Linked DNA regions of Mus musculus. The protein of the gene in region 5 binds, or shares a complex with, the protein of the main gene of each other region. Links are inferred from orthologs where the notes say so. Each region holds a gene or a part of one and is shown on either strand. Other genes may lie near its edges. The genes, in order: Smarca4, Arid1a, Dpf3, Phf10, Smarcd1, Smarca2 and Smarcb1.

Evidence for each region.
Region 1: Smarcd1 (region 5) and Smarca4 share a complex: the UniProt entries of both Homo sapiens proteins name them as parts of the BAF complex. The link is inferred for Mus musculus from reciprocal best matches to the Homo sapiens genes SMARCD1 and SMARCA4.
Region 2: Smarcd1 (region 5) and Arid1a share a complex: the UniProt entries of both Homo sapiens proteins name them as parts of the neuron-specific chromatin remodeling complex. The link is inferred for Mus musculus from reciprocal best matches to the Homo sapiens genes SMARCD1 and ARID1A.
Region 3: Smarcd1 (region 5) and Dpf3 share a complex: the UniProt entries of both Homo sapiens proteins name them as parts of the BAF complex. The link is inferred for Mus musculus from reciprocal best matches to the Homo sapiens genes SMARCD1 and DPF3.
Region 4: Smarcd1 (region 5) and Phf10 share a complex: the UniProt entries of both Homo sapiens proteins name them as parts of the neural progenitors-specific chromatin remodeling complex. The link is inferred for Mus musculus from reciprocal best matches to the Homo sapiens genes SMARCD1 and PHF10.
Region 6: Smarcd1 (region 5) and Smarca2 share a complex: the UniProt entries of both Homo sapiens proteins name them as parts of the BAF complex. The link is inferred for Mus musculus from reciprocal best matches to the Homo sapiens genes SMARCD1 and SMARCA2.
Region 7: Smarcd1 (region 5) and Smarcb1 share a complex: the UniProt entries of both Homo sapiens proteins name them as parts of the BAF complex. The link is inferred for Mus musculus from reciprocal best matches to the Homo sapiens genes SMARCD1 and SMARCB1.

The regions. Positions count from the first base shown.
Region 1 is NC_000075.6:21,614,849-21,618,968, forward strand, and holds the start of Smarca4 (transcription activator BRG1), read left to right. Parts: upstream 1-1,320; 5' UTR 1,321-1,552; intron 1,553-4,120. UniProt on the Homo sapiens protein: ATPase involved in transcriptional activation and repression of select genes by chromatin remodeling (alteration of DNA-nucleosome topology).
Region 2 is NC_000070.6:133,719,486-133,722,985, forward strand, and holds part of Arid1a (AT-rich interactive domain-containing protein 1A), read right to left. Parts: coding exon 3,354-3,500; intron 1,515-3,353; coding exon 1,065-1,514; intron 169-1,064; coding exon 52-168; intron 1-51. UniProt on the Homo sapiens protein: Involved in transcriptional activation and repression of select genes by chromatin remodeling (alteration of DNA-nucleosome topology).
Region 3 is NC_000078.6:83,484,937-83,489,018, forward strand, and holds the start of Dpf3 (zinc finger protein DPF3), read right to left. Parts: upstream 2,801-4,082; 5' UTR 2,773-2,800; coding exon 2,741-2,772; intron 1-2,740. UniProt on the Homo sapiens protein: Belongs to the neuron-specific chromatin remodeling complex (nBAF complex).
Region 4 is NC_000083.6:14,958,461-14,962,418, reverse strand, and holds the start of Phf10 (PHD finger protein 10), read left to right. Parts: upstream 1-1,158; 5' UTR 1,159-1,224; coding exon 1,225-1,308; intron 1,309-2,893; coding exon 2,894-3,000; intron 3,001-3,958. UniProt on the Homo sapiens protein: Involved in transcription activity regulation by chromatin remodeling. Belongs to the neural progenitors-specific chromatin remodeling complex (npBAF complex) and is required for the proliferation of neural progenitors.
Region 5 is NC_000081.6:99,700,905-99,705,086, forward strand, and holds the start of Smarcd1 (SWI/SNF-related matrix-associated actin-dependent regulator of chromatin subfamily D member 1), read left to right. Parts: upstream 1-1,382; 5' UTR 1,383-1,417; coding exon 1,418-1,594; exon of another isoform or gene 1,595-1,886; intron 1,887-2,201; coding exon 2,202-2,389; exon of another isoform or gene 2,390-2,598; intron 2,599-2,686; coding exon 2,687-2,729; exon of another isoform or gene 2,730-2,833; coding exon 2,834-2,956; intron 2,957-3,426; coding exon 3,427-3,549; intron 3,550-4,182. UniProt on the Homo sapiens protein: Involved in transcriptional activation and repression of select genes by chromatin remodeling (alteration of DNA-nucleosome topology).
Region 6 is NC_000085.6:26,603,958-26,607,959, forward strand, and holds the start of Smarca2 (probable global transcription activator SNF2L2), read left to right. Parts: upstream 1-1,202; 5' UTR 1,203-1,276; intron 1,277-1,291; exon of another isoform or gene 1,292-2,092; intron 2,093-2,193; exon of another isoform or gene 2,194-2,553; intron 2,554-2,616; exon of another isoform or gene 2,617-3,098; intron 3,099-3,184; exon of another isoform or gene 3,185-3,586; intron 3,587-4,002. UniProt on the Homo sapiens protein: ATPase involved in transcriptional activation and repression of select genes by chromatin remodeling (alteration of DNA-nucleosome topology).
Region 7 is NC_000076.6:75,918,815-75,923,058, reverse strand, and holds the start of Smarcb1 (SWI/SNF-related matrix-associated actin-dependent regulator of chromatin subfamily B member 1), read left to right. Parts: upstream 1-1,444; 5' UTR 1,445-1,663; coding exon 1,664-1,756; intron 1,757-4,244.

The DNA.
Region 1 (4,120 bases), on a different chromosome or scaffold from region 5:
TGGTATCTTGGGTCTGTAACCCTAGCGTTTAAGAGGCAGTAGCAGGCCAGTGATTTAATGGCCTGAAACATTCTTTTTTGTTCTTTGTGGCAGAAAACACCCTTTTGTTTGTTTACTTAGAGAAGGTCTCACTTTGTATCCATGGCTGCCCTGGAACCTCACTATGTAAAAGACCAAGCTGGATTGGTACATGCATGCAGCACTCAGGAAGGAAGATGTCTGAGTTCGAGGCCAGCTTAGTCTAGAGCAAGTGCCAGGACAGCCACGGCTACACAAAGAAAACCCGTCTTAAAAAACTAAAGACAGCCGGGCGTGGTGGCGCACGCCTTTAATCCCAGCACTCGGGAGGCAGAGGCAGGCGGATTTCTTGAGTTCGAGGCCAGTCTGGTCTACAGAGTGAGTTCCAGGACAGCCAGGGCTACACAGAGAAACCCTGTCTCGAAAAACCAAAAAAATAAAAACAAACAAACAAACAAACAAACAAACCATAAAGACACACAACAAAAACAAGTAACACCTTGGTAACAAACTCAAGAGATCCACCTGCCTCTGCCTCCCGAACACTACCAAATATTTTAAAAACTCAACCAGAGGCATGAATCTACAGATTTGGACAGAGTTCTATGCTCCAAGGCTAATGGCTTTCTTGGAAATCAGAAGTTAAATTGTGAATATGGCTGTTTCTACCTCACACTCTGTATTTTACTTATTCATTCGGTTGCCTCCCCACAGACTGTAATAGAGGGCAGCAAGTAGCCGATAGCAGCTCAATAAATATTTGTAAAGCTAATTACTGGGCCTCAGCAGGTTCTGCAGGAAATGTGGCCAGGGCAGAGTCTTGCAGAGCAGGCAGGGCAGCGCCAGAACCAGGATCAAAGCGTTTCCCGGGCCTGCACTTAGCACCGCGTGGGCTCTGCCGGTCCTGGGATAGCTTGGCCATCTCTCCGCTTCTCTTTCCTCCCTGGGTGCTCCAACTGCTCCGAGCCTGAGGACTTTAATTTCATCCTTACTATCTCCCATCTGGACCACCCACCCCCTCCCCCAACCTTTAAGCGTCGCCGCAGTGCTACCCCCACTGCGCATGCCTCCCGGCTTGAGGCCCAGTTTCGTGCCTGGGAGGTAGATGTGCGCTTGCGCAGAGCCGCCCCGAGCCCCCCACAGGGGCGGTGCACCAGGATCTTGTGCAGCCTCTGGGCCCGCCCACCTCCTCGCGCCCTCAAAGGACTAGTACGCGTGCGCACAGCGAATGGCTGAGCATGCGCGCAGAGAGCGGAAGGGTGGGCTGGCGCGCGCACGAGGCCGGCCGGGCAGCGGAAGCAGGGCAAGTGGAGCGGGTAGACAGGGAGGCGGGGGCGCGCGGCGGGCGCGTGCGGTGGGGGGGGGTGGCCTGGCGAAGCCCAGCGGGCGCGCGCGCGAGGCTTTCCCACTCGCTTGGCAGCGGCGGAGACGGCTTCTTTGTTTCCTGAGGAGAAGCGAGACGCCCACTCTGTCCCCGACCCCTCGTGGAGGGTTGGGGGCGGCGCCAGGAAGGTTACGGCGCCGTTACCTCCAGGTAAGGAATGGAGGCTCCCGGGCGGAACCAGGCTCCCGGGGCTTGGGCAAGACGGTTTGAATGAAGCGGAGGCGCCGGGAGGGGGAGGGGGCAGCTGGGCGACCAAAGCGGGGTCGCGGTACGGCGGCGCCTGAGGGTCAAGAAGCCCTGCGCGCGCGTCTCAGGCCGCAGTGCAGCGAGACCGCGGCGGCTTCCTGACTGTGGCCGGCGAGGCGGGTGGCTCTGGGCCGCGTGAAGGCCGCGCGCGCGTTCTCGTAGGGTCTTGGACAAAGCTTCTTCCCTTTGGCGTTTCAGAGATCCAGATCCCCCACTTTAATTTCTGTGGACCCCAACTTTGAACAGTGGCTAGGTGTCGTGGGCTTTTCTGGCCTCGTTTGTAACGGGTGGGATCCCAATGCCCTGTGGTCGGGCGTCGGGAGCAACATTTTTACCTCAGTTATTGATGCCCAGTGTAGCTTGGACACAGTCATGAGCCCTCTTCGGTCTCCAGACCTTACTTTCTTCATGTTTATTATTTTTTTTTTTGATAAATTTCATTATTGCAGATTTTGAAGGAAAAATAAAGAATTTCTTCCATGGCTTCAAAATGTTTGCCTAAAAAGTGAAAGATGCCTGGGGACGTTTGCTCTCGGCGGCATTGTTTTTCTTTTGAGTCCCTTGGCCCTTCCCAGTTTTTAAGATAGGGTTTTTTATTTTAAAACACCGAAGGCAAGTGTTTTGTGCGGGTCCGAAGACATCTACTTGATCCCTTTTACCTCCAGTGACTCCTCAGGAACTAGAAACAAGTTTTTGTTTGAACTGACAGACAGCCTTTGAGTTTGATGCCCAGCGCCGGCTGCTGTCAGCTTGCTGTGTGGCCTTAGGCGAAATCGCTAATCTCGCCAAACCTCTTGGTTTCCTCCTTTGTACAAGGGAATTACTTTCGCTGTTAGGATTGGGAAGAACTAGGCAAATCGTTCCTACATCATCATTATTCTGATTTTGAAGACAGACTCTTATAACCTAGGCTGACATCCAGCTCCTCATGTAGACCAGGCTGGCTTCATCCTCACTTTGCTGCCTCCACCTCCCAAGTGCTGGGATGATGTTCAGCCAGGCTTCCTGCCCTGTTCTTTGTTCTTGACTGGTCCAGCAGATAGTTGAATCTTTTACTTTGTGTTACATGTCTGGTAGGGGAATGGGCAGTAAATATGGGGACGTTTCTCCTTGGCCTGCATGTGTATTAATTCATTAAGAAGTTTTGGGTTTGTTTTGATTCTCCTGGCCCCCTTCTGTTCTCACTGTATAGTCCTGGCTGTCCTAGAACTCTGTTACCGGCTGCCCTCAAATTCACACAGATTGGCCGCCTCTGCCCTCTGAGTACTGGGATTAAACTCTTGCATTAGCAAAGCCCTTAAGGCCACTTATGTTTTATTTTTATTTATTTATTATTTTTTATTTTTTAAGATTTATTTATTATTATATCTAAGTACACTGTAGCTGTCTTCAGACTCTCATTTCGGATAATTGTGAGCCACCATGTGGTTGCTGGGATTTGAACTCAGGACCTTCTAAAAGGCAGTCAGTGCTCTTAACCACTGAGCCATCTCTCCTGCCCTTGTTTTTTTTTTTTTTTAATTAATTCAGTTTTGTTTGTTTTTTGTTTTTCCAGACAGGGTTTCTCTGTATAGCCCTAGCTGTCCTGGAACTCACTCTGTAGACCAAGGTGGCCTTGAACTTAGAAATTTGCCTGCCTCTGCCTCCTGAGTGCTGGGATTAAAGGTGTGTGCCACCATGCCCTGTTTATTTGTTTTTTTGAGACAGGGTCTCTCTGTGCAGCCCTGGCTGTCCTGGAACTTGCTTTATAGACCAGGCTGACTTCTAGCTGAACTCAGAGCTGCCTGCCTCTGCCTGGGATTCACACTGAGCCACCAGTGCCAAGCAGTTTAAAGCATTACAATTCCTTATTTATTTGTGTGTGGAGGTCAGAGAGACTTTGCCGGGGTCATTTCTCCCCTCCTTCATGTGGTTTCCCGAGATTGAACTCAGGTAGTCAGTTTTCAGTGCAAGTTACCTGTTGAGTCATTTCTCCTTTCCCTAAGTCTTAAGTGTGTTGAATTTTTGAGGTGTTGATCAAAGTTGATCCTGTACATGCTAGGGAAGTAAGTGTCCTTCCACCAAGCTAGTATCCTGCAAGCATTGTTTTGATTTTGCTATTTTTTTATTAATGTGGGTTTTTTGTTGTTGTTTGTTGTTTTGGGTGTTGTTAAGCTTGGAATCCATGGCACTGTGCATGGTAGACATGTATTGTATGTATGTATGTATGTATGTATGCATCTCTCTAACCCTTTGGCCTGCCGTTTAAGCCTCATACCCTATCTTGTGAAGGGACAGAGTGGTTGCCCAAGGGAGCAGTGGTGGGCATGTCTAGAAGGTTGCATGAAGGAGGAATCTTCATTCAAAATTAGGGAAGATGTGTCTCCCCTGGCCCCATAGCTGGGAGTGGAGCGATGTCATCACAGCTGCTGCTCTGTCTGTCTCCAGCAGGCAATAATGGGACAGGAGAGGGGTGGTCCTTGGGAGGGATGA
Region 2 (3,500 bases), on a different chromosome or scaffold from region 5:
AATTGGTTGCTCTGTATTAGATCACCCTGTACGGGGATTAGAGACACTCACAGGCAAGCTGGAGGGCCTTGACTGAAGACTCAGGTTCATATCTTCTTGCCCTCCCTTACTGGAGGTCATTGAGGGGGCTGAGGATGCCTGAGACCCAAATGAATCTTGAGAAAGCTCCTGCAAGGAAACACAACAAAGCTGTGAGGGCGGGCTGCTCCAATGGTGGTGCACACCTTTACATTCAGCACCTGGCAGGCAGAGGCAAGTTGGTCTCTGAATTCCACAGGAGCCAGGATTACACAGAAACCCTGCCTCAAAACAAGAAAAAAAAAAAAAAAAGACCAACCAACTAACCAGGTTGCAACTGGAGAGATAAATAAGCCTGTTTTTCCTGTAGAGCCAGCATCCACACAAAGGCTCAGAACTCACAACCAACTCTAACTTGTGTTCTAGAGGCTCTAACATCATTTCCTGCCCTCCATGCGCATCAGTACACACCAGGTACAAGGCAAACAAGTACAAAATACAAAGCACCCAGAGGGTGAAAGAGCTGTACCGTTCCTCACATAGGGCAGCACATGTGAGAAGCACAACTGCATCTATCATTTGAAAAGACAACACCTTAAGCAATGGCTCTTCAGAATGTTAAGAGTGAGTCTGATATGGCAGTGATCGACTGTGATCCCAGCACTAGGCAAGCTCCAACAGGAAGATAGCAAATTCAAGGCCAGTCTGGGCTACATTGTGAGACATTATCTCAAAACAAAAAGCACACAAACAAACAAACAAAACTTCCAAACAAATTCATGTCAACAGTGGCATTTGATAGAATTGTTTTTTATTTATGGTGACCCCAGAGGAGCCATTTCTTGGGGTTAAGGGCTGAAATCTAACCAAAATTTAGTATCTTATCAATAAGTGGACCCAACTAATTTTAAAAACAACCAAAACCTGATAGCACATTTACCCAATTTCTTTTTTTATATGGCAAAGCTCTCAAAACACCAAGCTTATGTAAGCTGCCTCTGGCGGAGTACATGGAGGGCAAGAGGCAGACCATCCGTCTGTCTTACCTGTGGTGGAGGGAAGCGCTGCTGGGAATAGGCAGTTTGCTGGGACTGCTGAGGCTGGGGCTGAGGATATGCAGCCTGCTGGGAGAGCGACGAGGATGCTGGCTGCTGAGGTTGCTGCTGCTGGTAGGGAGACTGTGCCTGTGGTTGTGAGTAGGGGGGCTGGCTCTGGGGATGCTGTTGTGTGGTGGACTGCTGGGAGGGATATGGAGTTGGGGACTGCTGATGTGGAGGCTGGGATGGCTGCTGGGAATATGGAGGCTGAGAGGACTGAAGCTGTGGTTGCTGAGTCTGCGGCTGCTGCTGATACGAAGGCTGGGCATGAGGGGTCTGGGATGGTGGTTGCTGGGCGTAAGGTGGCTGCTGCTGGGGATGAGGACTTTGCTGGTTATAGTATGGAGTCTGGCCCTGCTGGCCATACGCACTGGGGCCTTGCTGGCCATAAGGTGGAATCTGTAAGAAAGAAAACATCCTTTTAAAGTGACTCACCTCCATGAAGTTAGGCTCAGGGGCCTTCCTTCTACCACCCATCTAGAGACTAAGCTCTAAGAATGGTCAAACTATTGAAGACTGAATCCACTCACTGAAAACTGATGCTTCTTAATATTCACACAACTCATACGAGCTCAAGAACAGTTATTTTCCCCTAGTGAACATATTCTTTTCATCATGACCTAAATTGGTTTTATGTTAGGAATTTTTTCCTAACCACCATAAAGAGGCACTAGGAGCTTGGTTCAAACAACTGAAGACTCAGTGTTTAGTAGTGTGGATAGTATACAAATCACTAAGCTACCCTGGTACTCTTTCATTTAATTTTTATTTTAAAATTATTCAGGGGTGGGATAGAGAGATGGCTCAACAGTCAAGAGCACCAAGTGCTCTTCCAGAGGTCCTGAGTTCAATTCCCTAGCAACCACATGGTGGCTCACAGCCATCTGTAATAGGATCTGATACCCTTTTCTGGTATGTCTGAAGACAGCTACAGCATATTCATATATATTAAATAAATAATTCTTTTTAAAAATTATTTAGGGGCTATATAGCTCAGTGTATTTGCCTAGTATTCATGAAGTCCTCAAAACCACATCCACCAGGCAGGATGAAACTTGCCTCTGATTCTATTCCACTACTTGTAGCCTAGACACAGGAAGATCAGGAAGCTCATGGTCCTTTTGGGATATATTAGAGTTAGAACCACCCTGGAATGTAAGTAAGATTCTTCCTCAATCAATCAACCAATAAATAAATACAAACAAAAAACAAAAAACAAACAAGCAAACCAAGAAAAGAACTCCATGTCACCTCTCAGTTCTCTCATAGAAGGAAGATAGCTGAGCGGTAGTGGCACACACCTTTAGTCCTAGCACTCAGGAGGCAGAGGCAGGTAGATCTCTGATTTTGAGGTGAGCCTGGTCTATACAATGAGTCCCAGGACAGCCAGGCTATACAAAGAAACCTTGCGGAAGGAAGAGATGGGGGGGGGGGGTGGAGAGAAGAGAAGAAGAAAGAGAGGGAGGGAGAGAGGGGAAGATAAAGTAGGTGTGTTTCATCTAGTCGGTGTGTGTAACGATGTCCTTTGCTCTACAGTTTGTCTTTAGAAATCATCTCAGACTCGCTATACTGTCCTTTACTTTTCTGGTGTGTTACTCAGACATAAATGGCAGAAAATCTGCCAACACAAAAAAACAACAATGTCCTTTGCTATGAGACCTGGCATCCTGCCTTCACCTCCAAGTAAATAATACTGTAATTTTTTAAAAGGTGACTATGCAGGGATGTGGATGGAGCTCAGAGGCAGAGTCCTATCTAGTATGCTTGAAGCCTTGGGTTTGATTCTCTGCACTGAAAAACAAGCCAAATTTTAAAAAAAGCCCAGGATAGCTGGTCAGATGGCTGCGCTGGAGGAGGCCCCTCTGAGGCTTCACTGCACTGCTCACACAGGCCTGTCCTCTTTCTCTCCAAGTCCTTAAACATTCTCTTTGACCCAGGCAGCTTATCTTAAAAGTCTGTGAGAAAGAAGAAGAGCGGCCTCACCACAAGGCAGGCAGCACAGATTGGCCTTCGTACCACTTCATCTCCCAAGGGCAGACCAGCAAGATCAAGGGAAGACAGGGGCTGAGATAGATTGGGTTAAACCCCAAGATATGTTGAAACAGACATGGAACATACATACAATGGTGCGGACGCAGTTAAGCCAGCAAATCCATGGGCATCAAGAAGCCATTCTGACCTTATACCTCAAACACCAATTGTGGACAGCAAAAAAGCTCAAGGTAATCCATCACCTACCTGCTGTGCATAAGAGAGGCTGCCCATGGCACTCTGAGCCCGGCCCTGCATGGTCATGGGGTACCGCTGTGGAGTCTGGGACCCATATGGCTGCCCTGGGTACCCATGTCCTTGTTGCGGTCCTGAAGGAGGTCCCTGTTGTTGCGA
Region 3 (4,082 bases), on a different chromosome or scaffold from region 5:
TAAGGCATAGCCCTACACAGGGTGGCATGAAAGAAACCCGAGCTGGCTTCTTCCCAACACCGTAACTACTGCTGCTTATCCCCAGGCCCAAGAGGAAATCTTTGTGTGACCAGTTTCTTCTGTAGGGGGCGTCCGTGATGTTGCCTTTTTAAGACGAGAAAGACTGCTTGCACCCGGAGAAAATGCTAATGCAGTTTGGAGCTCCGGTTCATTGTCAGGAGGGGCACACAAGGATAAACACATAAGCTCTCCAAGCCATTCTCCTCACTCCTCCTCCTCCCTGCCCCCCCCCCATCCATCCCTTCAGCTTGCTGGGTTGCTATGCTTTGTTCTAATTTGGCCCATGCATAATTTATTCACGTGTGTTTTGTTTCCTGATCAGCAACTTCTAGAAACAAATGGCATGTATAAGATGTTTTATTAAACAAGTTGTTTTTATAATAATAATAATAAAGCAGATGGCCTCAGTCTCCCGGTAACGATGTGTGTGCTCCTGCGTGCGGAGTTTTTAAAATGTCCAGGGTGCAAATAGCTTGACCGATTGGGGTTATTATTTACACCCTTAGCCCTCAGGGGAAGAGGACTGGATGCAAAAGGGGGCGGCTAATTATAAGTGACCATTCGACTTCCTCTGAGGAAAGGCAGACAGGGGTGTTGTGTGAGCGTCCGCGTGCGTGAGCCAAGACGGAGTTACAAATGCATCCCACGGCAAGTATTTCCAATTATTAAGGGATACAAGTGTAAATCTGAACTAGTTCTATTAACTGATTGGCCACCTTCTAGCTTCTCTGTTCCTTCTCCCCCACAATTTCTTATACATGCACTCTTCTGTGGAAAAAAAAAAAAAAAGTGGAAAGATCTGGGGGACCCAGGAGTGTGGAGCTCCTGCGCGCGCCCGAGCGTAAGCCCGCTCCCGGGCATCAAGGATGCCGCTTTGCCAATGAAGAACCCTGTACACATAGCAAATAGATCTCTCCGACTTGAGTTTACCAAGCAGCATCAGCTCGGCTACGTGATTTCGGCTGGAAATGAGGAAATTGCAAATCAGCTGTGTGTGGGTTCTGGAGAAACTCCCAGCCCCAGCGGTGTGGCGGCGGGAGTCGGCGAGGAGCGGGGAAGTTACGCCCATTTCTTCTGCCATAAAACAATTTCTCTCTTCGGTGAGACGCTGTCGCGAGTGCAAAGTAGCTGAGCTTCCGAACGAGAACGGGAGCCAGGAACTCGCATCAAGCTCAGCCTCCGTCTTTACAGCAATATCTCATGGAAACTCCAAGATCTGGGACATCCCTGCCCTATTCCTGGTTGTTGGCTGGTGCAAACGCAGCGGGTTCTCCCTACGGGTTTCTTGGCACTAGGAATCCCACGCACACTCTCTCGCCGCCGCCCTGCTGCTCCCCAAAGCGAACGGTGTTTTCGACTCCCATAGCCAGGGACGCTGTAGCGCGCAGCTAAAAGAGCCAAGATCGACCACTGACACACACCGGGAAGAATTGGCACTAAACACCCACGCTCACCCTCCGACTCCCACTGGCTTTCATCAGGGCGGGGAAGTCCTAGTACACCGGGCACCCACTGGGTGCCCACGCCGCGCCGCGATTCCCAAGGATCCACCCTCTGCCAACATGCCTGCCAATAGCGCCCCTTGAGAGCCACACTAGTTTTCCGAGGCCACCCCCGGCTCCGCGATCACCCGCGGACTTGCGGCTTCATATTCAGTCCACCGACTGGAAGAAGGAAGGAAGGAAGGAAGGAAGGAAGGAAGGAAGGAAGGAAGGAAGACCGGCGGGCAGGCAGCTCCGATCGGGAACCGGCCCCCGCGAGTCCTTGCGCAGCCCGCCCCCCTGTGTCCGCTCAAAGTCTCCGGGAGGCACCTGCCCCTCGCTGTCGCCAGAGCCCTCCACCGCCGCCTCCACCGCCTCGGCTTTTCACCCAGAGCAGGCAAGCACACCATTTATAAGACCTGCAGTTTCCCTGCCTCCATATCAACCCCAAGTTAACCCGGATCGTTAATTTACTAGAGCCAGTTAGCCTACAAATACACAGACACACCGGCGACCGCCCGGAGCGCCTGCCTGATCCCCGGCTGCCGGAGTGGAAAAGCCCGGGGCAAGCACCTGGGCCCCAGGACTCCCGGGACCCGCCGCTCCGCGCGCTGTCCTCCCAACTCCGGAAGGTTTACACAAACTCCCTGCGAGAGCTCGGAAGGCAGAGCGAACGCCCTGCAAAACTCCGCAGCCGCTGCGGTCCGTCTGCCCGCCTGGGTGGACGAGCAGCGGGGCCGGGAAGGTTCGGGCTTGGAGTGCAGGGCTCAGCCGAGCGCACGACGCGGTCTCTGCCCCGCGCTCCGGCCAGGCTCAGCCAACCCCGCGCTCTGGCCAGCCTCAGCCAGCTCCGCGCGGCGCCGGGAGAGGCAGGGGACTCCGAGAACCGTGAAGACCCGGGCTGCTCACGACCCCCGCAGCTCCTGAGCCGGCGCCGCCGCTCTGTGTTCCCTCCCGGTCCCGGTCAGCCAATTAAGCAGAACACAAATGTAACAATTTTCTTTTTGTTAATTGCATCTCCTGACATTTCTGCGCGCTGGGAGGAAAAAAAAAGATGAAGAAGTAAGAGCAGGAAGAAAAGAGGAGCCCGGGCGCAGCGGGAGGTGTCTGCGAGAGCCGGGCGCCGGCTGCGCTCCACAAGGCGCCTTTTTTTCATATTGAAACCACGCGGAATATGTACATTTTTTAGTCTTACTTACGCTTTCAGGGGGTTGTGAATGACAGTCGCCATTTTGCTACAATGTAACAGAATATTGTCTGTCTCAGAGTTCTAAAGGTTCGCTCAGGGGAAGCGGCAGGCCAATCAGAGCACGGGATACCGGCCTACCGGCCAATCGGCGCGGCTGGTCGCCAAGTGGGCGGGGCCTGCGTGGTGGTAGTTATTAGGGGAGCTGTCAAAGCCCAGAGGTCACTCCCTTTTGTAGAGCCCGAGAGCGAGCAGGTCTTAAAGGGGCAGTACCGTGTTAGTAGCGCCCTTTTAGATTGGAACTCGTGGAGACAACATGGGAGAGCATTCTCGCTTAGTTGGAGTCCCTACTTTGCTAAATAACTGCAGAGTTTGCGCTCCTGGACAAGAATATTTACATAGTGCCAACAAAACCACTTAACCCCATTCATTAGCTCTGGGCTTTGTAAATCACGGTTTTTAACCCCCGAGCTCCTTGTACACCACCGTGTTGCAGTGCAAAAAGTTGGAAGGCTGCAGTTTCCTCCAAGAAATTACTACTCGTGTTCCACTGTTTGCTAATAATGTTCTGGGTTCCGCGGCTGTTCAATATTCTTGTTCCCGAAGTGTTTTCTTGATCTCAGCCACCTTCCCCGGGCGGTTTCTGAGAACTGGAGAGTCCAGGACAGCAACTCCCTTCCTCCTGGAATGTCTCAGTGTCAGGCTTGCGGACAGCCACGGCTTTTGTTACGTAATTCACGGGTGGTCACTCCGCGCGGTCCCCTACGACCACCGTTCTCCACTGTCAACGATTCACACTGATCTGACATGGCCAGCTTGGGAGCGAAGTGAGACCTGGCGCTTTTTAGGCAGAAGGTTGGGGAAATTTTGAGGCAACTTTAGGAAACGCAGCTAGGGAAGTCAGTAACTATGCAAAAATTGTTAGAGCCTGAGGTAGGTGTTGCCTGAGTCCCCTCTGGGAACGGCTCTGAGAATTCAGGCGTCACCTTTCTGGACTAAGATAGGAGGTGAAAAGAATTTGCAAGTGAATGTTCAGACGTGACTCCTGGCTTCCCCAGTATGCGGCTGCTCAGAATCTGATAAACCCCAGAAGAAACTGAGAGACTTCTGCGAACTCAGACTTCCACGGAGCACAGGGAGACTCGGAGTGGGCGAAAACTCATGAAATCACTTAGAGGGCACAGGCATCGTTAGCTTATAGAAGCCGGGCTATGGCCCCCTTGGCTGTTTAATCAGGTCAAATAGCTGGGGGCTGGGAAGTGAAAAGGAAACCGAGAGATGCTGAATTGCAGTTCACAATTCCACCTGCTCTCGCCTTTTACGACTCTCGATGAATAAAGTAAAATACAATTACA
Region 4 (3,958 bases), on a different chromosome or scaffold from region 5:
ACATCAATATAAATCCTGTCCAAACACCATTGGACAATTGGCTTCCATTTCCAGGAATTCCCAATCCTGTGTCCTGCAGGTGACTGTGCTGACTCTGTCATATGATTTTGGGAACCTTCCCTATGTTCTCCTTGCCTGACTGGGTTCCGTTCAACCTGAGTGCTGCTGTGACTTTTCCCGTGGCCATGGGGGCCACTACGCCAAGGTCACAGGAGAAGCAGTTGTAGAACAAATGAGCCAAGAGCGCCTTGGGGATCCTGGGGTGTGTGGAGTGAAGATGGAGAGGTGGGGTGGAGAAGTCAGAAAGGACTCAGGAGAAGGGGATCTCAAAGAGGGAGGAGGCGGAGCTCCTGGGGTGGTTGACCCTAAGGGCTGCGAGAGAGGAGGAAGTGGGCTGAGGACACTAATCCTTCATTTACAGAAGGGAGCGAGGACCCTGGTGGAGAAGGGGAGGTCGCCGCGGCTGTGGAGACCCCGGGCTGAGAGGAGGGGCTGGGGACCGGTAGGGGTGGGGTTGGTGGGAGGATACCGCGCGGTAGGGACCCTCAGCTAAGGTGCTGATGATCGGGAGTGGGGAGGACACGGCGGCGTGGTGGCGACCCCGGGCTGAGGGGAGGAGCTGGGTACGGGGGAGGGATTGGAGAACAAGCGTGGTGAAGACACATCTTTGAGGGGAGGGGCTAGGGACCCAGGTGGGGACAAGGCAGGCACCGCCGACTGAGGACCCCCGGCTGACGCGCAGCGGAGGAGGGGAGGGGGCGGGACCGCGGCGGGGCGGGGCGGCGCGGAGCCGCGGCTGACGCGGAGGGCCGGGCCGGGGGCGCAGGGAAGGGGCGGCAGCGAGCTCGCCAGGCGGCCAGGAACCCGGGTGGGGCCGGGACCGAGGCGGTGGCTGGCCAGCGGAGCTCAGGCCGGGCGCGGCGCGCCGGGTGAAGGCGGCAAGGCGGCAAGGCCCCGGCCGAGGCCGGCGGAGCCGCGCAGCTGCGGCCGGCTGACGTGAGCGGCGTGCGGGTCCCGGCCGGCAGCGCGCTGGCGGCCATGGCGGTGGCGCTGGCGGGCCGCGGGGCGCGCGGCGGCAGGGGCCGGCCCCCGGGCGGGCGGGCGGAGGGGGCGGGGCCGGGGCGCCGGGCGGCCCGCGCGACAGCGGCGGCAGCGGCGGCGGCGGCGGCCGCTGGGACTAGGCGAAGGCGGCGACGACGACGGAGGCGCGGGGCGCTTGGGCTGATGGCAGCGGCCGGGCCCGGGGCGGCGCTGTCCCCGGGGCGGTGCGACAGCGACCCGGCCTCCCCCGGAGCGCAGTCCCCAAAGGTGAGCGGAGCGCGCTGCCCAAGGGGCAGCGGCCCAGGCCGGGCTCGGGAGAGAAGAGGAGACCGGGCGGCGGGTCCTGGAGCAACAAGTGCGGCGGACAGTGGGCGCGGACGTCGGGGAGACCTGCGCGGCGGGGTGGGAAGTTGTCCGGGAATAGCTGGGACCGGGGGACTCGGGAAGAGTGCTTGAGACGAAGCGCCCCCAGCCTGGGAAAGTCGGAAAAGTTGGCGGCCTTGGGGATCTCAGTCGGGGAGACGCTGAGCGGGACGTGCGCTCGGGGTCCCGAGTTGGCAGAACGTGGTTTCACACCCACAGACCCGGCCAGCCGAGGTGGCCCCCGCCACGTGCCGGTCCTCCCTGGTGGGGTCTCTGACTGCTCGCAGGGGGCTGCTGGCTCCCTGTCCTGACCGAGGATGGTGCGGAGGGGAGGGCCTTACCTGGAACGTAGCCCTTAGGATTCCTACAGTTGTGAGCTGGTAAACTCTGTGTCAACTTCCGTTATTGTTTCTTTTCGAGAGGATCATTGTTTTTAAGTAAAAGTATTGACATACAGAAATCCTTAAAATGTCCACAAATTAATAAAATAGTGCTTAAAATTAACGGTGTCAAGCCAGTATGGACCATGAATACAGTGAAAAACATACTAAGAAATTTAATTATCTTTCAACTTCTTGATTGTTAGCTTTAAAAGGGAATATTAAGTCTACTTGATTTCATTCTTGAAGAGTGAAAAGGGGAATGATTTCTATGTTCTTTTTTAATTTGGAAAGTAATTTTAGTAAATTCCTAGGTGCTGGAGACATAATGAAATATAAAGTCACTGCTAATCACAACGTTAACATATATCAGACAGCTATGTGCTACCTGGCTCTTATGTGATCACTTCACTGCATCCTTGCATCAGCCACCTAGGCTTTAGGACTGGGGAGAAGCTTGCAGCACACAGCTGGTGGAGGGCAGTGCTCAGTAAGATTCTCTGGCAGCCCGCAGTGCCATGCTGACTTGGCATGCTAGCCTGTGCTGCCTTTTCATTCCCTTCCGTGGGCCTTTATTGAAATTTATAGTAAGAGTAGTAGTGTTAGGAGCTATAGTACCTTGATTTAAAAAAAAAATAGGAGTTTAAGCCTATTAATTAACGTAATGAATTGTTTTTAAAACATTTGATTACTTATTTCCTTAATGGAATGGCTCAACAACCTATATCTCCTATGAGTTTATCACAAAGTGTTGAATTTCTGCCGCAGAAGAAAAGGAATGTAGTTAGACGTGGTAACCTGTATCCAGTCCTTCTTCATCTCCAAAGTAGCTAATTAAAATGCGCCTCCGGGGGGCCAGTTGTAAGCTGAAGGGTACTATGAAACTTACTAGTATTTATTTCCCAGCTCAAATAGGAAGGCTTGCTTTGATTTTTAAAGTGGTGTGGCTACTAAAAAGCAGATGTTTGAACACAATCTAGTTGGTAAGAAAGTGAAAGCAGAGTACATTTAAAATACAGTTGAAAATTTAATTTCATTTCGATTAAAGGTCAGATTTTAGTTTTATTCATTCTTAAATTTTCTAATTTTTTAATCATTTAAATGTACAGGATGATAATGAAGATAACTCAAATGATGGGACCCATCCATGTAAAAGGAGGCGAATGGGCTCAGGAGACAGCTCAAGAAGTTGTGAGACTTCAAGTCAAGATCTTAGGTACTTTAAGGTTCAGTAGTAACTTTCGTAGACTTTTGCTCACTTCTTCTTCTCCTGCCTATTCCAGGCAGCAGAAACAGTTATTAAAAATTATATGTGTTGGCTGGAGAAATGGCTCAGAAGTTAAGAGTGCTTGCTTAACTGGAGGTTGGTTAGCAGCCCCACATCTCATCTCATAAGCTCCTGTAAACTCTGGAGGATCTCATGGTCCATTCCGGCCTCCACAAATGTCTGTATAGAGAGCAAACAAACAAATCTTCTAAAAAAGTCATATACTATCAAAGTAGGTCTCACTCCTGATAACTGTTAAAAAGTTATGGTAAAGTAGGTATATAAAACTCACCATTGTAACACTTTTTATATATAAAGAGTATATTTCAGTACAACCATCACTCTCGGCCCTTTCCAAAACTTTAGTAACTCAAACTGCCTAACCCTCCAGTACCTCCCATCCCTTCCTGCCTCCAGCTGCTGGTTACCACAGTTCTACTTCCTGCCCTGAGTATGAACCAGACAGTACCTGCCCCGTGTTATCTGGCTTACCCATAACCATAGTATCTTCAAGGTTCATCGTGTTGGAGCTCCTTAAGTCTGAACAATATTCCATCGTATGTTCTGCTACATTGTGCTCATTCACCTGCAGGCTGGGGTAGTTAATGCTGAAGTGAACACTGGCATTCAGACCCCTGTTCTTAATACTCTGGTATATAACTAGAAGTAGAAAGCTGTACCACACGTTGATTCTGTCTTCAGACTTTTTAAGGACCTTCCATACATTTCCATAGCAGTAGTACCAGTCTGCATTTCCACCAACAATACACCTTGCAACATTATTTTTGCTCATTTTGCTGATAGGCGTCCAGAAAGACATAAGGTGATCACCCACTGTGATTCTGTGTTGTATACCATGGCTAGTGGTGCTTGCCGAATATTTTTTAGGTGCTCTTTGATCATTTGA
Region 5 (4,182 bases):
TCCCAAAACAGGACTTATGGGCAGATCACCTGTGTACGTTGGCCTGGAGCCAGAGAGCAAGGCTTTGGCATCTTTGAGACCTCTTGGTTCTCAAGAGTTGTTTAGAGATCAGAACTCCCCAGAAAGAAACAGGGCAAAGCTGAGAAATGTACACTGGCTGGGGGGGCAGCAGGAGGGGCTCTGGGTGACGCATGCCTCTGGTCTAATAAACTGGGTTTCAACCATCTCTTCAGTGTTGGTTTTCTGTTTGTTGTTTGGTTTGTTTTGAGACAGGGTTTCTCTGTGTAGCCCTGGCTGTCCTGGAACGGCTCTGTAGTCCAGGCTGGCCTCGAACTCTCACAGAGATCCTCCTGCCTCCCAAAATGCTGGGATTAAAAGCCTGAGCTGCCATTATCCTGCCCAGTGCTGTTTTTAGTTGCAAACTGTGGGTGTTACCTTTAGAATGGAGCTTGCCTTGAGAGCCACACAACTAGAGTAAGGGAATTTGAGTGGTAGCCCGGTGTGGTGGTTATACCTGTAATTCCAGCAGGTAGGAGATGGAGCAGCTATCTTCCATTACACAGTGAGTTTAACGCTAGATTGGGCTACACCAGACCCTACATACTTGATCAGGTAAACACTGATCCTGCTGGGAAAAGACAGGCTCAGGATTCGTCTGATCACTGGGCAGGGGACCAGCAGTTATCTATGGCAACAAATATCCAGGACTCTTTGGAGAAAAGTCACGGGAAAAAACGCATCAAAATCTTAAGTTAAACGTCTGAGGTGAAGGGTCCCGAGCCTTCTCTGTGTATCCCTGGCTGTCCTGGAACTCACTCTGTAGACCAGGCTGGCCTCGAACTCAGAAATCCGCCTGCCTCTGCCTCCCAAGTGCTGGGATTAAAGGCGTGCGCCACCACGGCCCGGCATGGGTTTTCTCTTGCTGATTTGTCTTTGCCACGACATTGATCTCCTTCGAGTTCTACTTTTCCCGAACGAACAAACAGCACGTTTTCCTCTTTAGTACCCGGAGTCTGAGCAGTAGGAGAACGAAAAGCAAGGCAACCAGAATGCTTTGGAGAGGTAAATGCACTGGGCCAAGGTGAAGCATCACTCCAGCCGCCAGCCGGATGGGCTGGGCTCTCTGCAAGGCTTTTTACCGTCCTCCAACCGCGTGGAGGCGCTCGCTCCCGGCACCTCTTTATCCGCACACCGCTTCTCTATGGTGCTCCCTCCTGGCCCGTGAAGGCGGGAGGGAGTGGTCAGCACGCCTTTCCCGCTAGTCGCCCCCTCTAGCCCGTAGTCTCGCTGCTCCGAGCCGCCTGTGCCCGCCGGCGGGCCGGGCCCACAAACAGCCCAGGCGCTCGGGGGGCGCGCGGGGGGCGGGGGGAGTTCCGGTTCCGGTTCTTTGTGCAGCTGCAGCGGCGGCTCCGGGAAGATGGCGGCCCGGGCGGGTTTCCAGTCTGTGGCTCCGAGCGGCGGCGCGGGAGCCTCAGGAGGAGCGGGCGTGGCGGCTGCTCTGGGCCCGGGCGGAACTCCCGGGCCTCCCGTGCGAATGGGCCCGGCGCCGGGTCAAGGGCTGTACCGCTCTCCGATGCCCGGGGCGGCCTATCCGGTGAGTGGGACAGGAGGAGGGGCGCGCGGGCCGGGGGCGGGGCCGAGCGAGGGCGGAGGACTGACAGGGGTGAGGGAGAAGTGGGAGGGACTCCCTGGGGAGGGGCTCGGGCCGGGAGTGGAGGTGTGTGGGGGGGGAGGAGGTTAGCATCCTTACCTGCTCCTGGCGGCATTGTTTCCATGTGAGGAGTGAGTGTGGAACCAGGGTGGGCGAAGTGGGCCCTGGGATGGTCATGGAATGCAGAGGGGAGTGGGCAGCCCCCGTGTCCCCAGGAATACCCAGGCTGTTATAGCTGCAAATGGAGGTCAGCTTTAGAGGAGACAGTAGCTAGTAAAAAAAGAAATGTAGGGCTGACTAGACATGTCTGGTGAGTCAGATCCAGCATAGACCAGAAAAATTGAGTATAATCTAGTTTTTAGACTATATGCAATGAAATCACTGAAGGTCCAGTGACTGTATTTCAAAGAAGCAAAGGACTGTCTTGTTGTCCCCCCACCCCACCCCCAGCCCTAACCCACTCCTGAAATCCAGGCTGCCACCATTTTTCCTTTCTTGGTGGGGCTAGCAAGGAAAAGTATGACATTTCTGGGTCCTCTCCCTTCTGTAGAGACCAGGTATGCTGCCAGGTAGCCGAATGACACCTCAGGGACCTTCCATGGGACCTCCTGGCTATGGGGGGAACCCTTCAGTCCGACCTGGTCTGGCCCAGTCAGGGATGGACCAGTCCCGCAAGAGACCTGCACCTCAACAGATCCAGCAGGTCCAGCAGCAGGCGGTCCAAAATCGAAATCACAAGTAAGATGACCCCTGGGGGTGAAGGAAAGAAGGGTATGGGGGAGAGGAGGCCTGTGAGGATGCTGGTGGTGGGCATGCAGAACCAGGAAGTCAGCGCTGTGGCACCAAACGGTGCTGCAGGGACTAACAGGGCCTCATGATGCAGTGGAGTTTTGGTGGTCATGGGAGAGGTAGCGTCTTTAAATGGAGAGTCATTTCGTAGGCCTTGGCTGTAACCATAAACAAAGGTGCTCACAACACTGCTCACGTTCTGACTAGTTCCTATCCCAACCTGATCACAGTATTTATTCTGAACAGTGCAAAGAAAAAGAAGATGGCTGACAAAATCCTACCTCAAAGGGTGAGTGCAGCTGCAGAGGTCTCCTTGAAGGGGTAGTGGCTTTGAGAATAGAAGTGGTCAGAACGAGGGCTGCCCCATCCCATCTCTGTCTTTCTGTTCCTAAGATTCGGGAACTGGTCCCAGAATCACAGGCCTACATGGATCTCCTGGCTTTTGAAAGGAAACTGGACCAGACTATTATGAGGAAGCGGCTAGATATCCAGGAGGCCTTGAAACGTCCCATCAAGGTAACAGGACAGTACCAGGCTGAGGGTCAAGGGAGGGGCCCAGGTCTCTCTCCAGCTCAGGATGGAAAAATCAAAGGCACAGCACAGCTCTCTGTGGCATTTAAATTGCATCTTTCCCTTCCGCCTACAAACCAGGAATTACATTAGGAGCATAGGAGTCTAACAGCTGGCAGGGAAAGGGGCGGGGGTGGGGGGTTGGGGGGGAGCTATCCAGGGCTCTAGACAGAAATAGACCCGTGCGCGCTTTTTGCTGTAACCACTTGCTACCTTGGGAACATGCCACTTTGCACAATTTTGTCTCCCTAGTCCCCTGGTGCATTCACTTGCACCCAGGCTCAGGTCGGGACTGTACACTTCCGAGTGGAGTCTCTGTCCCCTGTAGTGAGCCAGCCAGTGAGGAGTCACTTGGGAGTTTTAGGGGACCTTTACTACCGAAGCTCCACTGTCGATCCTGTTTCTGCCTTCCTCAGCAAAAACGGAAGCTGCGAATTTTCATTTCTAACACGTTCAATCCGGCTAAGTCGGACGCGGAGGATGGGGAAGGGACGGTGGCTTCCTGGGAGCTCCGGGTAGAAGGCCGGCTCCTGGAGGACGTGAGTTCAAGGTCCACTGTGGTTGGTGCTCAGGGAGGGAGCTGCAGGGGTGGCACTGTGCCGGGTGCTTGGTGCGGTGTGCTCAGCAGGAAACCTGACTGCAGTTCACCACTCCTGCTGGGAGCTTCCGGGAGGGGGCTGGGGGGCTGTGTTCCCTGCATACAAAGACAATGGTCCTTTGTGTCTGCTTCCTCAGCTGCACGGTTTTGTCCTGGGGTCTGGGTTGCTGTTGACTTGGCCCTGGTGATGCTGCCCTTTGGATTTAGCAGTATCAGTGGATGATCTCAGTGGTCCCCATCCCTGCCCGCCACCCATCTGTGCTGAGCCTTTGAGGCCATGTTTCCTCCCTTGAATCCTTGAGGTTATTTCTGTGTTCCCAACTTTCCTTGGAGGTACCACAGTTTAAGTGTGAGAGTCCCCCAAAGGCTTGGCTCTCTGTTGCTCCAAGGGGATCATCAGACTAATGAGCACCCCCAAACTCTCCACCCAGCAGCTCATGCTCACCCAGTGCTGCGCTCTGGCACTATATTTAGCTGTGCAAGTGAGCTCGTTCGAGTGCACTTTTGCTGGAGAACCAGAGCCTCCTGTGGGTAGTCCGGGCTGTTTGCTGGTCATGTGTTCTGTCCAGATAAA
Region 6 (4,002 bases), on a different chromosome or scaffold from region 5:
CTAGGGTCCGGCAGACATACTGTATTTCAAGGAAAACTGAAACACTAGCTCTCCAAACCACTACGTGCAGGCAAATTGCAGTTTGTAGCCTTAATTGGTCTTAAATGTGGGGTGGAAGAGAGAGGAGACTTCGGTCTGTAGAGATTGAGATTTATTTCCCTTTTTAAATCAAAAGCAGATCCCATGGTTCAGCTGCCCCCTGACTCTCCCGCCCTACCCTCGCGGGTCGTTCTCTCCTCCCACATTTTTATGTATATTTTATTCGAAGACGACAGGTGAGGGGAGGTGAAAGTGCTTCGTGCCTTTCCGAAGTAAACAGAGGGGTTAGGAGGGTTTATCTGGGTTTATTTATTTACTAGGCGGCCGGCCTCTCAGCTGTTTCTCTTCTCTGGCATTTGGAAGCTTGCAGTCCTTTAGGGATGAGACAGATTTGGCAAGCTCGCTCTTTGTGCCGCCTCCCTTTTCACTGGGGGCTGGGGATGGGTGGGAAGAACGCAAATTTATGACAGCCTTGAGAGAAACGGGGAGGAGGCGGGGGTCGAAAAAGTTTCAGCTCGTATGATAATGCCCATTCCCTCCCACCCCCGCGGCCAACACTGCCACAAACAGCTTTGGTGCCACCCGGAGCCCTGCCCCCGCCGTCCCCTCCCTTTCTCTCTGCAGGCTCGAGCTGGCAGGCGCAGGCACACTTAAATTCCAGCACGGTCTCCACATTCCCCAGAACTACTACGCTCGATTACTACGGCTGCCCTCCCCTTCGCTTCGGGGGGTTCCCCCAGTCTCCTCGGAGAAGCTCGGAAGGCTACTGCCAGCTAAAGGATGTGCGGCTCCCGAGTCCAGCAGGGCTGCGGGCTGGTTGCTTGTCCTGCGCAGTTTCTCTGCTCCAGGCACAAACACGGCGGAGAGCCGGCGCCTCGCAGACACACACAGATCCACGCATACAGTAGAGCTGTCTAGATCCACATTCTTGCACACCGCCCCCTGCTCCCCCCGCGCGCTCCCGGAGTCGCTGAGCAGGGCGAGTGACAGGAGCGTCCCACCAACCCGCGCCGGGCCGGGCAGGGAGGAGCGGCTCGCGGGGCCAACTGCGGCGCGTCTTCCGGCGCCCGTGGAGGCGGCGAGGGTGGGACGCGGGGCGGAGCCCGAGTTTAGGAAGAGGAGGGGACGGCTGTCATCAATGAAGTCATATTCATAATCTAGTCCTCGCTCCCTCTGTTTCTGTACTCTGGGTGACTCAGAGAGGGAAGATTCAGCCAGCACACTGCTCGCGAGCAAGGTAAATATAACTTACAACTCCTTTCTCTTCTCTCCACGGCTCCGGCCTTACAGCAGCCGCAGCGGCCGCCGAACCCCTTGGGCACCGCGCCGCCTTCGCCCCGGATTATGCATCCTTATCCTAATCATTATTTATTGTGCATGCTGGAAGACCAAAACAAACAGGCGGGCCAACCGCTACAACAACAAAAAAGCCCGCCTCTTCCCCGCGGGCCTCAGGTGGAATGCTCTAACCACAGCTCCCGGGTGGCGATAAAAGAAACAAAGTTTCAACCGAACCTCGCCGTTCTAATAATAACAGTAATAATTACTACTTCGAGGGGGCAAGGAGAAGAAATCCCAACATGTCACAGCCTTGACCCTGGGCAGGTTGACAGTGATGCGCTGCCAACTCAGGGTTGCAACACACTCTCCGCCAGGTTGCATCCCCCCCCCCCTCCTATCCCCTAAAAAGCAGAGGTGGGGAGGGCTAGTGGCAAGAGGAGAGGGGGATTTGGGAACTCCGGGCCGGGGGGCGGAGGGGTTGGGAGGCGGGGGACTGGAAACGCGACAGTTCACCCCGAGCCATCCTCCCCGTTAGAGTTGGAAGGGAACAGGAAAGGAGGGAAGGAGGGTGAGGAGCCCGGGCTGGCGGCAGGGCGCCAACCAACACGGCTGCTATTCGCCTCCCGGGGACTTGTTTAAAGGGCTCCGGCTGCGGGGACGAGAGCAGATCTTGGCGGTAGTAGTCTGGGATGGCGCACTGAGCGGGCGGCGGCCACTACCACAGGGTTGGTGCCTTGGGGCTCCGAGGTGTCACCTCCACTCCCGGGGTTCCCTAGGGCAGGGAAGGGAATGTTGATTGGTGACAGGCCTTTAGGTGAAAGGGTTGGCCCCGGGGGCTATGGCCGTGGCGCCGCGGACCCTCTTGTCTGGTACCTAGAGGCAGCGCGGGCTAGGATGTTGAAGTTCGGGGTGTCCAGCCCGGGTCTCATTACAGAGGGTGGAAGGAAGCCCCAAGGAAAGAGGTCCGAGGTGTCCACTAGGCTCTGTTAGCCTCCCCTCCCCTCTCTGGGTTTGTTTTCTTTTGCTTGGTGTCTTTCCTTGGCAAGCGCCGAGGAAGCTGCAGACGCGGGGCGCCTGGGATGGTCTGAGTGTCAGGGGCGCACAGGGACCCGGGAGAGCCACGGCGGCTGAGGGCTGGGGAGGCCATGATCCGGATAATCCTCTCTGCCTGACTGTCACAACAGGACCCGCACGCACCCGGGCAGCGGCCGCGGCGTTCGCCCGGGAAGGGGAAGGGCTGCAGTGGGGAGGAAACAGGGGGTGGCGAAGGAGGGAGGCGGGGAGAGCCGGTGGGAGCCTCCTCCTAGCGATGACACTCACCCCTTCCTTCTTGCTCCCTGCTTTCGAGTTTGCTTTATTCCCATCCCAACATAGTTCACCCCTTCCCTTGCCTCCTCCTCCTCCCCCATCGCTGGGCTGCCTCCCCTCCCATTGGCGTTGCAAAACAGGGCCACGCCATCTGCATAGGTGTCGCGATGTACTTCCCCAAATCACCGGTCCAGCGCGCCAGCCCCTGGGCGCCCTCCAGCCACCAAGCGCACACCAGCACAGTGCCCCCCGGTGCCCCGCACCAGGCCGCGCAGCCTGGACGCAGTGACACCGCTCCGGGCGGGGCGCAGCGCTGAGGACTCTAGGGGACACCCGCGCTCCGGCCCGGGCGCTCACGCTGGTTTCCGGTACCTGCAGGAGATCGCCGGGTGCGGGTGTCTGCATTCACCCCTGCGGCCTGGATTACATTATTATTTTTTTATACCGGTTGCTATTCGCTGCGGATAGTGGTGAGCGCCGGGCTGGTAGGGCTGCCTGGGGGATGGGGGCGGAGGGAAGTTGGACACCAATCAACCCGGAAAAAAAAAGTTTGGCAGTGCTGCAAGTCGGATGGAGGGGCTGGAGGGGGCGGCGGGCTGGCGTGAGTGTGCAGTGCGCTAGGGACCAGTGAGTGGCGAGCTGCGCGGGCTGCGTCTCTAGCCGGAGCACTCCCGGGAGCCGGACGCAGAGCCGGCTGGGTCTGGCGGCGGGAGGCGGTGGCGGTGCGTGCGGCGGCGAGGGCGAGTGCGTGGCGCGCGCGAGCGGCGGAGAATCAGGAAGTCACCGCGGCGAAGCGCACAGACGTGTTTGATCGCCGTGACATGACGCGCGCGAGGGAGGAAGAGGAGGTGGCGGGGGCCGGGCCGCGGGCGCCGGCCTAAGCCGCGCTGTGCACACCGCTCCCTCGCAGCCCCGGGCGGCGCCAGCTCGAGAGCCCTGGCCGTTCAGCGTCGCCCAGGTAAGGAGCCGGCTCCTCCCGCTGTCGCCGCCGCCGCCCGCTGAGCTTTCTAGGTCTTTCTCTGCCGACCCCCCTCCCATCTTTGGCTCGCCTTCCGTGCAAAGTCAGGCAGGCAATCGATTGCAGGGAAAACTTTCCAGCGGGAGGCACTGCGCGGGGGAGATGGAGGCCTCGCGGGTGGCTGGCGTGGTCAGTTCTTTCTGCTCCAGGTCCGGAGAGAGTGAGTCGCTGTGCCCTGCGGCTGTTGCACGTTCAAACTTCGGGCCTAAATGTGCTTCCAACTCTCGCAGGATTTACTCCACGAAGAAAATAAACACCCCAAGCGGTCCACTCTCTCGCGGGGGCCCTTGGGGGTGTTTAAAGCGAAGGAGGATGGTGTAGGAGGGGAGAGAGCGAGGGCGTAGTGCAGAATCATT
Region 7 (4,244 bases), on a different chromosome or scaffold from region 5:
ACTGGCTGTCTCAGCAAAAGCAGTATCATTTTATCAGATCATGCCTAACTACTGGGGGTGGGAGCTGAGGGAGGCATGGTCTCATTATACATCCCTGACTGTCCTGGGACCCACAGAGGTCTGCCTGCCTATGACTCTGGAGTTCTGGGATTAAAAGTGTGAGCCACCCCTGGCCCTTAACCCTCTGGTTCCCATGGCTGTGAGATCAGTGGGCAAACTCCTGGTTACCACAGCCTTTCCTAGTTCTTTAACATCTCCTTCATCATGACCCCAGTCACAATTGCAGTCTCATTAGACTGACCCTTATGAAGCTGGCCACTGTTTGTCCTGCTGCTTTCAGAGAAGTGTTTGTATTTTGCACATCCCACCATGCCCCCACCTCCCCTACACTAGGTTGTTAGTCCCTTTGCTCCCATACACAATGTCACTTTTACTTTAATGTTCTGTGGAATACATATTTTATGTATCTAAGGAAAATCTAGAAAGCACAAATGAGAGAAAACGTATTTGTCTTTCTGAGACTGGCCTGATTTGTTTAATATGATATCTTAGTTGCATCCATTTTCCTGAAAACAATGTAATTTCACTTTTGTGGCTGAAAAACAAAAAACACATGTACACACATTTCACACTCTTTTTTGTTTTCTGGGACAGAGTTGCTCAACATATCCCTGACTGTCTTGGAACTGAAGCTAAAAGCTTGCACCACCACACCCAGCCTAGACTACATTTTCTTCATCCATTCCTCTATTGTTGAATAGCTACCTAGGCTAGGCTATAACTTAAGCTCCTGTAATAGTGCTACAATAAACATTAAACATTTTGGAGTCACGGCTCTGTTCAACAGGGGGTGGACTGCTTGGACACGTTCCAGAAGCACTGTCTTCTCTCGGGGCTGTTATGCCCCAAGGCGGGCAGAGGCACAGACCAGGGCTGGGCTTGTGGGCACCAAGCTTGCAGAGGTAAGGAAGGAATGCAAGTGCCTCCTCCCGTTCATCTGGCACATCACCTAGATCTTTGAATAGTACCAACCTCCATCCAGTATTGTCATTCTTCCCATCCCTACTGCCTCGGGAACTGCTGTTGGCCTGGAGTGGATAGCTAGCTATTCCTAACGCACTTTCGGGTGGAAAACCTGAGGCGCTAGCGTGGGGTCGCCATGCCCACCCAGCTTCCCTCGGGCTTCCAGATAGAGCGGTCCTTCTCCTCGCTTAACGTCTCATTTTTTTCCTTCATCCCGGGGCGGAGTGCCAGCTCTGGCTATGCGACTAGGAAAGCTACCGCCTGAGTCAGGGCCTCAGTGGCTATTTCGGTCGCTGAGAGGTTTTCCTCCTTACCCGCCCAGGGAGGAAGCCTAGGAAGCAAAAAAGAACTCGGGTCCCTTTAAGGGCTTGCGGGAACGCGCTCGGCCTTGAGTCGCGCAGGCTGCGGCGCGCACGTTAGCGTCAGCTTCTCCACGCATGCGCACCGAGGGCGGCCTGCTCGTTGCAGAGACGGCCAAGGAGCCCAGTAGTGACACGAGCGCTCGCCCGGTTCGCCCGGCTTGCCCTGCCCGACCTTCACCTCCAGGCCTCCGTTCCTTTCGGTCCGACGCGCCTCGGCCCCGCCCTAGCCCACCGGATTCTTTCCAGCTCGACCCCGGCTGCCGGTTTCCCCCGCCGCCATGATGATGATGGCGTTGAGCAAGACCTTCGGGCAGAAGCCCGTCAAGTTTCAGCTGGAGGACGACGGGGAGTTCTACATGATCGGCTCCGAGGTAGCCCGCGGCGCGTTCTCGGCTTCCCGGGCAGCGGCTGGCCGGCTCGAGTCCCGGGGCGGGCTAGTGCTCCCCGAGAGCGCGCCTCCATTCATCGCGGAGGCGGGCGCGTGCTCGCAGCTGGGGCGTGGCCTGGTGGGCGTGGCCGGTCCCGCCTGGACCGTCCTGGGTTTTCTTTACCCACTTAACGTTGTTCAGACCCTAAGCATCTGTCCTAGCTTAGAGCGTCGAGCCGGTACACTCTAGGCAGATGGGGAAAGGATGTTCGGGAAGCCCCTGGGCGCTTGGAAGTGGAGGTGCAACACTGCCCTTGAACCCTTTGGCAGCTCTCGTGCACCCCACTGCCCCGGTCTCGAAATCTCTACTTGTAAGCCCGAAGCTTAGGAAAGCCTCTTCCCCTTTGTGTTGTTGCTTGCGAGGTGGACTGCAGAGAGCTTTTATGATGTTTAGAAAGTGATTGGACATGTTTGCTTTTGAGTGGATTGAGGCCCTGAGGTCGGAAGCACTAACGTTTTGGAGATCAGTGAACTAATTTTGAGTTTTTATAGGGGATAAATCTGAAGGGTCGCTAACCCAGAACCCAGAGCTAGAAGAGACAGCTTCTGTGCAGTCAGGTGGACAGGGTTCCTTAGGATCGCACCTGTGCGCCAGCCACTACCCTTTTCACAGGGGTCGCATATCAAAGATCCTGCATATTAGGTATTTACATTATGATTCGTAACTGTAGCAAAAATTAGAGTTATGAAGTAGCAACGAAAAAAGTTTATGGTGGAGGGGGTCATTACAACATGAGAAACTGTATTAAAGGGTCACAGCATTAGGAAGGTTGAGAACCACAACCTTAGAAAATCCCTTCAATTAACCCTAGAGACCAGCCAAATCTTTGTGTTTTTTTGTTTTTTTTGTTTTTCTTTTCTTTTTCTTCTTCGAGACAGTTTCTCTGTGTAGCCCTGGCTGTCCTGGAACTCACTCTGTAGACCAGGCTGGCAGAAATGTGCCTGCCTCTGCCTCCTGAGTGCTGGGATTAAAGGCGTGTGCCACCACTGCTCAGCTGAAATTTCTTTCTTTCTACCTTTTTTTTTTTTTTTTTTTTTTTTGGTGCAGATTGTCTATCTCAAACTAACTTCATTCCATCTAAGGGCAACCCCCAACCAGTTTATGTCTCTCCTCCCCTCCTCTCTTTCTTTCTTCCTTCCTTTTCTTTTCTTTTCTTTTCTTTTCGATTTATTTATTTATTTATTTATTTTATGTCTATGAGTACACTGTAGCGGTCTTCAGACACCCCAGAAGAGAGCATCAAATCTCATTACAGGTGGTTGTGAGCCACCACGTGGTTGCTGGGAATTGAACTCGGGACCTTCAGAAAAGCAGTCAGTGCTTTTAACTGGTGAGCCATCTCACCAGCCCCATCCCCCCTTCTTTTTGAGACAAGATCTCATCGTGTAACTGGCTGCCTTGTAGCTCCACTTTGTAGACCTGGCACTTGAACTCACAGAAATCCTCCTGCCTCTGAGTGCCAGGATCAAAGCACTTGGTGTCACTACACCCAGTTTATGTGGCTTATTTTTTTTTCTTTCTTTCTTACTCTTTTTTTGTTTGTTTGTTTATTAAGTGCACTGGGCTGCACCTTTAATCTGAACACTCAGGAGGCAGAAGTAGAGGGTGATTTTGAGTCCAGCCTGGCCTACGTAGTGAGATCTTGTCTTGAAAGGAATAATAATAACAAAAAGATAAAATTCAGATGTGTGAATGTCATCCAGTAGACATGTAACATGTGTAAAGAGGTAAGTGCCCACCCTGGAGAGCTAATGGCATTTCAGACTGCCAGCCGTTACCTCTGGCAGCTATTCAGTGACATACACTCCATTTTATTAGTGTGTCGGTTGAATCAGGTTGTGAGACCAATGTTGTCAGAAACATCCAGACTTAGAGTTTCCGTTTTCACCATCTTCCATTAAACAAAAAACTCAAGCCGCCAAGACTGATCACACTGTCACCTCTGTGCCTCTGTTCCACAGTGGCTGTGCTGGGGACATCTCTCACAGCTCAGAAGGGTCCTTGTTGGCCACTAGGCATTTGCTCAAGTGCAAGGTGTGGTGCGTATGGCAGTTAAGGACTTTAAATAGTCTATGCAGAAGAGTTTCTTCAAAGATGTTTATTTACCTGAACTGACCAGTGAAGGGGTAAATCTGGCCTCAGCCCTAGTTTTGAAAAGAAAATTCTCATGTGGTGGAGAGACTGAAAGACAGCTCCTGGTCAGGTGGGAAGAGCCTCGGGAGGTGTAGTGACAGCTTGCTCTGCCTCCTGACCCTTGCCCTCTTTCTCTGTCTTCCTCAGTTCTCATTTCTCATGCTGGGGAACCTAGAGCCTTGTACACGCTAAGCACATGGTCTTGCACTGAGCGCGCCTTCTTGGCTGGTTTTACTTTTCTTAAGCATCTGAGATGCTTACACTGGAAATCTTGTGTTTTGAGGTCATTGGCACGGCA